2 linked regions of the Callithrix jacchus genome follow. The protein of the gene in region 1 purifies or fractionates together with the protein of each later gene. This does not show direct contact. Links are inferred from orthologs where the notes say so. Each region holds a gene or a part of one and is shown on either strand. Other genes may lie near its edges.

Evidence for each region.
Region 2: the proteins of CCT7 (region 1) and DCAF7 purify together in Homo sapiens (affinity purification with mass spectrometry; 4 studies listed by BioGRID and IntAct, counting the BioPlex papers as one, with this or other methods). This does not show direct contact. The link is inferred for Callithrix jacchus from reciprocal best matches to the Homo sapiens genes CCT7 and DCAF7.

Annotation. Positions count from the first base shown.
Region 1 is NC_133515.1:41,419,116-41,422,924, reverse strand, and holds the end of CCT7 (T-complex protein 1 subunit eta), read right to left. Parts: intron 3,586-3,809; coding exon 3,488-3,585; intron 3,144-3,487; coding exon 3,011-3,143; intron 2,237-3,010; coding exon 2,030-2,236; intron 1,109-2,029; coding exon 887-1,108; 3' UTR 737-886; downstream 1-736. UniProt on the Homo sapiens protein: Component of the chaperonin-containing T-complex (TRiC), a molecular chaperone complex that assists the folding of actin, tubulin and other proteins upon ATP hydrolysis.
Region 2 is NC_133506.1:88,827,091-88,831,628, reverse strand, and holds the start of DCAF7 (DDB1- and CUL4-associated factor 7), read right to left. Parts: upstream 2,823-4,538; 5' UTR 2,594-2,822; coding exon 2,456-2,593; intron 1-2,455. UniProt on the Homo sapiens protein: Involved in craniofacial development. Acts upstream of the EDN1 pathway and is required for formation of the upper jaw equivalent, the palatoquadrate. The activity required for EDN1 pathway function differs between the first and second arches.

The sequences.
Region 1 (3,809 bases):
GACTCCAAAGCCTAGACCTATGTGCTTCTGAGTGCATCTAACCAGGAGTGGCTAGGTTCAGAGAATTTTTTTAAAAAATCACTTTCCAGTTTTAGCTAGCAAGCCTCAATGGCTGACAGTGACATCATTTACCACCAACTTTAACAGTGACCAACTACAGCTGGGTGTAGGCCAGCTATCAGGACCAGTGTAAACGAGGAGGATGTTAGATACTGCTGGATTTCCAGCTCCTCAGTGCCAGGCATTCCAAACTCGCATTGGCCACAAGAAAGCAGAAACACCAGGATCACTGGGGACTAAACTGAGAAGACCAGGTGGGTGCTTTCAGTCATCTCCTTAGTGGACTTCCAAGGGATCACCAGAGTTTAAAGAGCATGAGAGACCTCCCTAAACACCCCCCTCAGTCTTGAGTAAGAGGGAACAGAAGACTAAACCAAAAGAATATGGAGGTAGAAGGGGCAGAAAAGGTAATGTAATCCATTTACTCAAACCAGTGAAACCCTGGGAGCAGTATCTGACTAGGCCAAGGCTAAATAAGATGATGCCGGAAAGCAACTCCCTATTGTCCAGCCACTTCTGGAACGAAGAATGCAACCACAGTCAAACTTCCAGACAGGGGCCACTCTAGTGCAGCTCACCCTAGGATGCTCGTCTCCTTGTTGGACAAGTGCATGCAAAGCTAAAATTCTGAGCTACAGCCAGACATGTAAGTACTGTGCCAAAATAATTTACAAACTTAATCCTAAATCTGACACTTTATTTAAATAGCCTCCAGTGAGAAGACAGTGGGCCAATTACTACCCCTTCATTGCAAAATCATGTAACCAAACCAAGGAGAATAAGTGCACCCAGCAGCCAGCCAGTCATGTGATGCATGAGGTGCCTCTCAGTGGGGACGGGGACGACCACGGCCCCGGCCAGCTGCTGGGGGAGCATCCACAGTCGAGCGGGGGTTCTTGATGGTTTCATCTACAGACACGATCAGGCACGCAGCCTCAGAGGCTGCTGTCAGGGCATTGATCCGCACCATAGCTGGCTCCCACACGAAAGCCTCAAAGTTGTCAGCAATGTCCTCGTTGTTGATATCTACCCCATACCATGTGCCCCCCTGAAAGAGTAGAAAAGAAAGGAGGTAATATGGAACTGCACTCAACTTTCCTCTTGTAAACTGGTACTCCAAAAGACACTGCTAGGAACCCTCAGACTGTCTGAACTTGATGGCATTTCCCCGAAGAGTACTGCATCTTCCTGTGGCAACATGTCAGGAATCTGGGGACATCCCTACTCCCGCCAACTCCTCCCTTTATCCCTGGACATACCACACCAGACCTCTGGGATCTCCTCCCAGGCAAGCTGTTGTGTTTTGGGGTGGCATCATCCTCAGGTCACCTGAGGACTATATATATATATATCAAACAATGAGATCTCAAGATAAACAAGAATAACAAAACTACTATCCAATCTCTCATCTCATTGCTTCAATTAAGCCGTTTTATAGATGAAGAAAGGGAGACACAGAGGTAAAGTGACTTCAAGCAAAAGTCCTAATACAAGCCAGAAGCAGGGTCATTCACTCGGTGCTGAGCACTTAACAAACCTATCTATTTAATAAATGGAGAAGTTAAACTCTCAGAAAGGTTGAAGTAACTAGCCCAGGGTCACACTTGGTGGTGAAGCCCCAGCAAGGCCACAGGTAAGCAAGGCTCTGGAGAGCTTCACCACTACACTGATAAGCCCATTCCCTGTGGTCAGTGCATGCTTCCAGGAAGGTGCCGCTGGATTCCTCCTGTGGTTCCATGAGGAGCAATCATACGCTTGGCAGAAGCAATGAAGAAACCCTGGATCTCCAATGCTGACACCATGGCTTTCCCTCTGCCCTCAGAGAAGGCAGTTGGTCAGGCAGACAGGCTGGGTAGAGTTGCAGCCTATCTCCTGGGCCAAGCATGCACAGCTTAAGTAAGCACAGTTCACATTCAGAATCTAGCCCCACCAACCCAAACCCTGAACCCGGGGGAGAGAAAGGACCCACCTGGGCATGTCGAGCCCGTAGCTTGTTGAGAATGTTTGTGGCATCAAAGCCGGCATTGTCACACAGCTGGCGTGGGATAATCTCCAAAGCCTTGGCATATGCCCCAATCAACAGCTGCTGTTTTCCTGGAATGGTCCTTGAGTAATCCCGCAGGTACTTGGAGAGCTCCATCTCAATGGCCCCACCACCAGCCACCACTGAATCATTCTGCAGAGATCAGACCACCTCTCAATGTAAGAGAGCCCCTGGTTCAGGCTTCCATGCTGGGCCACTCAGCAAGTCCCTTTAGCCAAGAAAGAGTGGTTCTTCATTCCTTCCTCCATCCCAAACCCCAGAAGCCCAGAGATGGCCCCTGTCTGGAATATTCCAACCTGAGCCTTATGGTTTCTATTTTCAAGGTCATCTGCAGCCCAAGGACACTGGAACAATCACGAGAATATCTGATTACATTAATTCCAGTTTGCTAACAAAAACAAGTCTTTTTCTTCTGCTTACTCTGTTGCCCATGCTGGGGTGCAGTGGTGTGATCATAGCTCACTGTAGCCTCTAACTCCTGAGCTCAAGGGATCCTTCCACCTCAGCCTCCCAAATAGCTGGGAGTGACTACAGGCATATGGTACCATGCCTGGCTGATTTTTTAAAATTTATTTTTGTAGAGACAGGGTCTCACTATGCTGCTTAGGCTGGTGTCAAACTCCTGGCCTCCAGACCCTCCCACCTCCGCCACCTAAAGCACTAGAATTACAGGTGTGAGCCACCATGCCTGGCTAAAAGAACAAGTCTTAGCTTTCAAGGCAGGATGACCTACTTTTTAAGAAACTGAGGCTCAGTTTCTCTACCATTTGTGGGGCAAATCAGGGCTCACCACACCACCCAGGAAAGGGCAGATTATATAGAGAAGGAATTACCACAGAAATCCAAGGTCTGATCAGCTAGGGGGATAGGGTAGGCTGTGAAGGCAGGAGGCCATCAGCCCAGTACCTTGATGGCTCTCCTGACGATCATGATGGCATCATGCAGGGACCGCTCTGTCTCCTCCATAAACTGCTCAGCACCGCCACGGAGGATGAAGGTGCATGTCTTGGCCTTGGGGCAGCCAGTAAAAAAATTGTACCTATGCCCAGGATTAAATAGTACACACATGAACTTGTCTGCCACCATCCTGCTGTACTGTCCTCACTGCCAGCCCTCCTAACACTCTGACATTCTTCACTCAGATTGCCCAATCCCAACTTACAGACATTTTCTTGCAAAGGTCTGCAGCTATACTACTAGGGCATAAAAGATTGTGAAGTTAAGACTTTAGACCTTCCTGTAATGTTATATATATCTGAGCTCTTTATGACCCAAAGGTGAGACTTTGTAAAAAGAACAATACAAGCTGTGTATCACAGCTGAAAGATGGCAGAAGGTCACACGCAGGCAGGTTTGTGAGCTCAGCCTGGGCCCACAGCTCACCTCTCGCCTCCAATCTGGGTTTCTTCAAACACCTGGCATCGACCCAGCACATCTGCTGACAGAGCATTCACACTGGTCTGGATTGAACCTCCACAGGCCTAAGGAGCAAAGAAGGCAAGATCTAGCAGTGAAGGTTCCCAAGGCCAGGCAGCTTCCTGCCACCTTGTCTCAGAGCCAATTCCCACGCATGCCCCCAGAGCCTCTGCACTGGATTACCCGCCCTTTCCCTTGATTCCAGTCAACCCTTCCCTCTCTCTGAAAGAGCAAAAAACAAAATAGAACTAAAACACTTCAAACAGGACAAGTTAAAAGGAGATAGGGA
Region 2 (4,538 bases), on another chromosome or scaffold:
CACACTAAAAAGATGACCATTTCTAGCCTTTTTCATCAATGTTAATTTGCTGTGCCCATTTACTTCGTCCTCTGCTGGCAATCACTATCCATGGCAAGCAGGAACCGATGGTCTAAAAATTCCAACCAATAATTCTAAAGTTCCTTCAAATTATGAAGTCGGCTACCTCTCTGGCAGGGTTTCTCACAAACTTAGCCTGAGAATCACTGCTTTAAGGCAGGATTTGCTGCTCACCAGCCACTAGACACAATCCTCTCTCGCAGGGTTTCTTAACTTGGGGTCTGTGAACTTGAATTGGAGAAGTACACTCATATTTCCATTAACCTCTAGCTAAAATTTTTTGTTTCAATTACAAATAGGGTTAGCTACTCACAGTGGCATGAGTACCTGTGACTTTGCCAGCAAGAGAAATATTTTTTCCCCATCACGGAGCCATTGTTCAACATCTTGAAAACCTGGTAACCCTTGTCACCACTTCAAAATTATGTTAACAATTACACTGGACGGTATAAATCAATGAGTTAATTTATTAAAAGTACATATGACTACATCGCCACTTTTAAAAAACGTTTACATCTGTAGCGCAATGTAAGTGGTTTCTTTTGTAACTCTATGTGTTTCATGCATTTGAAAATAGAACTGTGAGAAGGGGTCTATTGGTATCAGATGACCATTGGCTATATCATTTGAGTTAAGATACAGTTAATTGCTTATGCTGTTGATACTGGCATTATTAGTTTGCATTTCACTACTAAGCCACGCTACCTGTGTGCCTGGCGCAAAGAGAAAGCTTCAGATAGTTGCTAAATGAAAGGACAAACTTTGGGGTAGAGTTCCCGCAATGGCAGTTTGACACCAATTAATCCACTGATTCTACCAGCAGCCTAACTGTGGCTCAGTTTCTCCTCTCTGGGAAATGGGACTATTGTTTACCCAATGACCCTGGAAAAACTTACAAGAAAAAAACATTAATTTGTGTGAAAAGACTCAAGCCCTTTAAAAGACGTGCTTTTTTATTTTCCACGTGTATCCTTAAACAATAGTTCTAGTGGTCTTACTTTTACTAACCCGGTGTCCACATCAGAACCTTGAATCCCATTCCCAGTTCTGCTGTCCACTATGGGCCATAAGGAAGAAAGAAGCATCAGAGATAGCAAATAAAGTGGGTGGATTTAAAGATCAGTGCATATTCCTTGGGATTTGTTTGTAAATTGTTCATGTATGTGTAATGTACAGACAGTGAGAGTCCATCGCTTTCATCAGCTTCTCAAAGGGGACTCCAAAGACGACCTACTCCGAGACACAAATGTGCTCCTGAAAAACTGTAAACAAACTGTAAAATGTTCAAATTTTTTTTTTTACAAGACCTTCACATGTAAACCAGAATCCCTTTCCTACAGCAAACTGTGGGTCACAGATAATAAAACAGGCCTGTGCAACACCTCACAGCTAGTCAATAACCAGATGGGACCCGCTCCTAGACCACCTGGCTTTTTTCCCCCTGCATCAGCCTTGTCACTGAACACGGTTTCATTCTTCTTAAATCTGATGTTCATGGCACAGAGCAGGAGTAGTAGCTTTAAGTATCACTAGTCACGGCTTTCAGTGGCTCTGATCGCTATCATTCACAACTGTAACTGAATAAAAGGAAGACAGAAAGGAAAGAAAATTCTTGCCACTTATTCAACTTTCAAAAATAACATTGCAATGCCAGTTTAAAAGCTCCCCTCTACACCATGCTTCTATAAAGCATTCTCAAATTGATGGATGTCCAGCAAGACTTACTACTACAAGTTACACAACTGTACTAGCATGAAACAAACCAAGAGATAAGGCCCTGTCATCCTTCTCTGTTCAGGAAACAATGGCGGGATCATGCCACAGGCCAAGATTTCCAAAGAGATTGCTTTAGAGAGAATGCGTATCAGGAATCAAGGACAACAGTAATTTTGGCAGAAGGGCTAGGATACATGAGTACCGGGGGGTGGGAGTAAGGGGCGGGGAAGCCTGTACAATAAATCGCCTTAATAGAAATGTAGTGTGGCCACGAGTGCACGACCATCAATGGAAGCGCCTGCATTTTCCTTCACAGCTATCACTGCCTCTTTCCTTCCCCGCCCACCAACGAAAGCAATGCTGCAGGAGTGGAGGGCACGGGAGGAATAAACGGCGTGGGTTTAGACCTGTTTCCACCACGAAATAGCTGCGTGACCCAGGCAAGTTACAAAACCGTACCTCAGCTGCCCCACTACACTGTCGACTACACAAAAATGCTGTCTGGATTACATGACAGACAACGAATACGAAACCTTCAACACTGGGCGAGACAGAGGAACCGCTCCGTGCCTCTAAGGCAAGTCCGTAAGAGGGTTCTGGGGCCTGGGCTCCGGCCCGGAAAGGGCGCTCCCGGGGCCCGCTCCCCGCCAGCTGGGTTCCGAGCCCCTGCCCGGCCCACCTTGTTGTTGTACTCCTCCACGAAGCTGCCCAGAGCCAAGCGAAAGCGCTTATCGGGCCGCACACTCCAGTTCATCGCGTAGACAGTCCAGGGCGCTTCATACTTGTAGATCTCCTTCCGTTTGCCGTGCAGGGACATGGTGGCTGCAGGGCAGCAGTGCGGGCCGGGTCAACAGCGGGCTGCGGCGTGCGGGGTACGAGTCGGGCGGGGAGCCGGGCCTGAGACCGATGGGTCCAAAGGGAGTAGCGGAGGAGGCGGTCAGGAACGGCCTACCCCCGGAAGCGGAGCTGCGACAACAAACAACGACGACGGCCGAGCCCGACCCCTAGTTTCAAACCAGCTTGGGCACAGACGACAACCACCTTCCGTTTTGGGACGCCGCCCCGCCCTCTCGGAACGGAAGCCACAGGACCCCCGCAGCGGCACCAGCAGTTGGTTGCCTCACACGTCCTTTCGAAAGGGTTCTTTCTTCTCATTGGTTGTTGCGGCCGTAGCGTCTAAAAGCTCTTCGCTATTGGGTTAAATGTTTGTCATTGCACCTACTCGCCCCGCCTAACTCTTGGAGGCAGGGGCTTTGGCAGCCCCAAAGGTCATTGGCTGGCCAGGCTGTCAGTCAGGCAGATAACGGCGCAGGGTCTGCGGTGGGGAGTGGGTGACCTGAAGCGAGCGTGCGCGGGGGCGGCGGGCCTCCAAGTTCTAGGCCAAGTCTCCGAGAGTGAAGCCATCTGTGACCTGAGCCGACTTCCCCTCTGCTGCCGCTGTTCTAAGCGGCCTCTCCACGCTGTCGAGTAAAAGTACAGTTCTGCCTTAGTACAGTTCTTCTGAATGTTGCGGGACCTAGCCCCGCGGCCTGGCAGTCTGGTCAGTGCCCAGCGGGAACCACCTTCCCGCTCCCTCTGGTCCCGCGGCCCCTTTAACCCGAAAGCTGCTCTCTTCGTGCCCCAGGGACAGGCTTCGGGCGTGCAGATGCGCCAAGGGTCAGGCCAGCTTGAGTCAGGCGCTCCGGCGCTTTCCTGTAGGATCTAGGAATGTCCCCGAATTCTAGGGTAGGCATCAACGAGACCAGCTTGGTTATGTTTTTGTTGGTTCCTATCCTGTTACCTCCCCGCCGTGGATCCCAACGCAAATGCTAATCCAGCCCCAAAGGTATCTGTGCTTATGTGTTTGAGAGGGAGAAGGGCCTGAGACCAAGTAACCTTTATAAATGGTTTCCAATTCTTAGCTTTCATCAAAATTGAAGGAGGTTTGTATCGAATTGTGGGACATTAAATATATATATATATATTTTAAAGACAGGGTCTCGCCCTGTCACCCAGGCTGGAGTGCACTGGTGGGATAAGGGCTGTATCCTTCACAGCCTAGGCTCAAACGATTCCGACTTTAGCCTCTAGAGTAGCTAGAACCACAGACGTTCGCCCCCACAACTAGCTATTTTTAAATTACTATTTGTAGAGATGAGATCTCTCCATGTTGCCCAGGCTGGTCTCGAACTCCTGGGCTCAAGCGGTCCTCCCACATCAGCATCTCAAAGTGCTGGGATTACAGGATTGAGCCACCATTCTGGCCACTAAATATAATTTTTAATGATAACTGATTTTAACAGACAATTCAAAGACTTGAGGGACAATGCTATATAAGATAACCCCTGTTAGTCCTATCTTCTTATGTGAACAAATTTTGTAGCCACTTTAAAAAGGAAAGAAATGCTTTTTGTTTTGTTTTTCCTGAGATGGAAGGAAACTTTTTTTTTTTTTTTTTTTTTTTGAGATGGAGTCTTACTCTGTTGGGCAGGCTGGAGTGCAGTGGCCTGATCTCCGTTCACCTCAACCTCCACCTCCTAGGTTCGAGCTATTTTCCTGCCTCACCCTCCTGAATAGCTGGGATTCTAGGGGTATACCACTCCCAGCTAATTTTTAGTAGAAATGGGGTTTCACCATGTTGGCCATGCTGGTGTCAAACTCCTGACCTAAAATGATGCTGGCCTCAGCCTCCCAAAGTGTTGGGATTACAGGTGTGAGCCACCACACTCGGCCAAGAAATCCCCTTTATTTATTTATTTATTTTATTTTTTGAGATGGAGTCT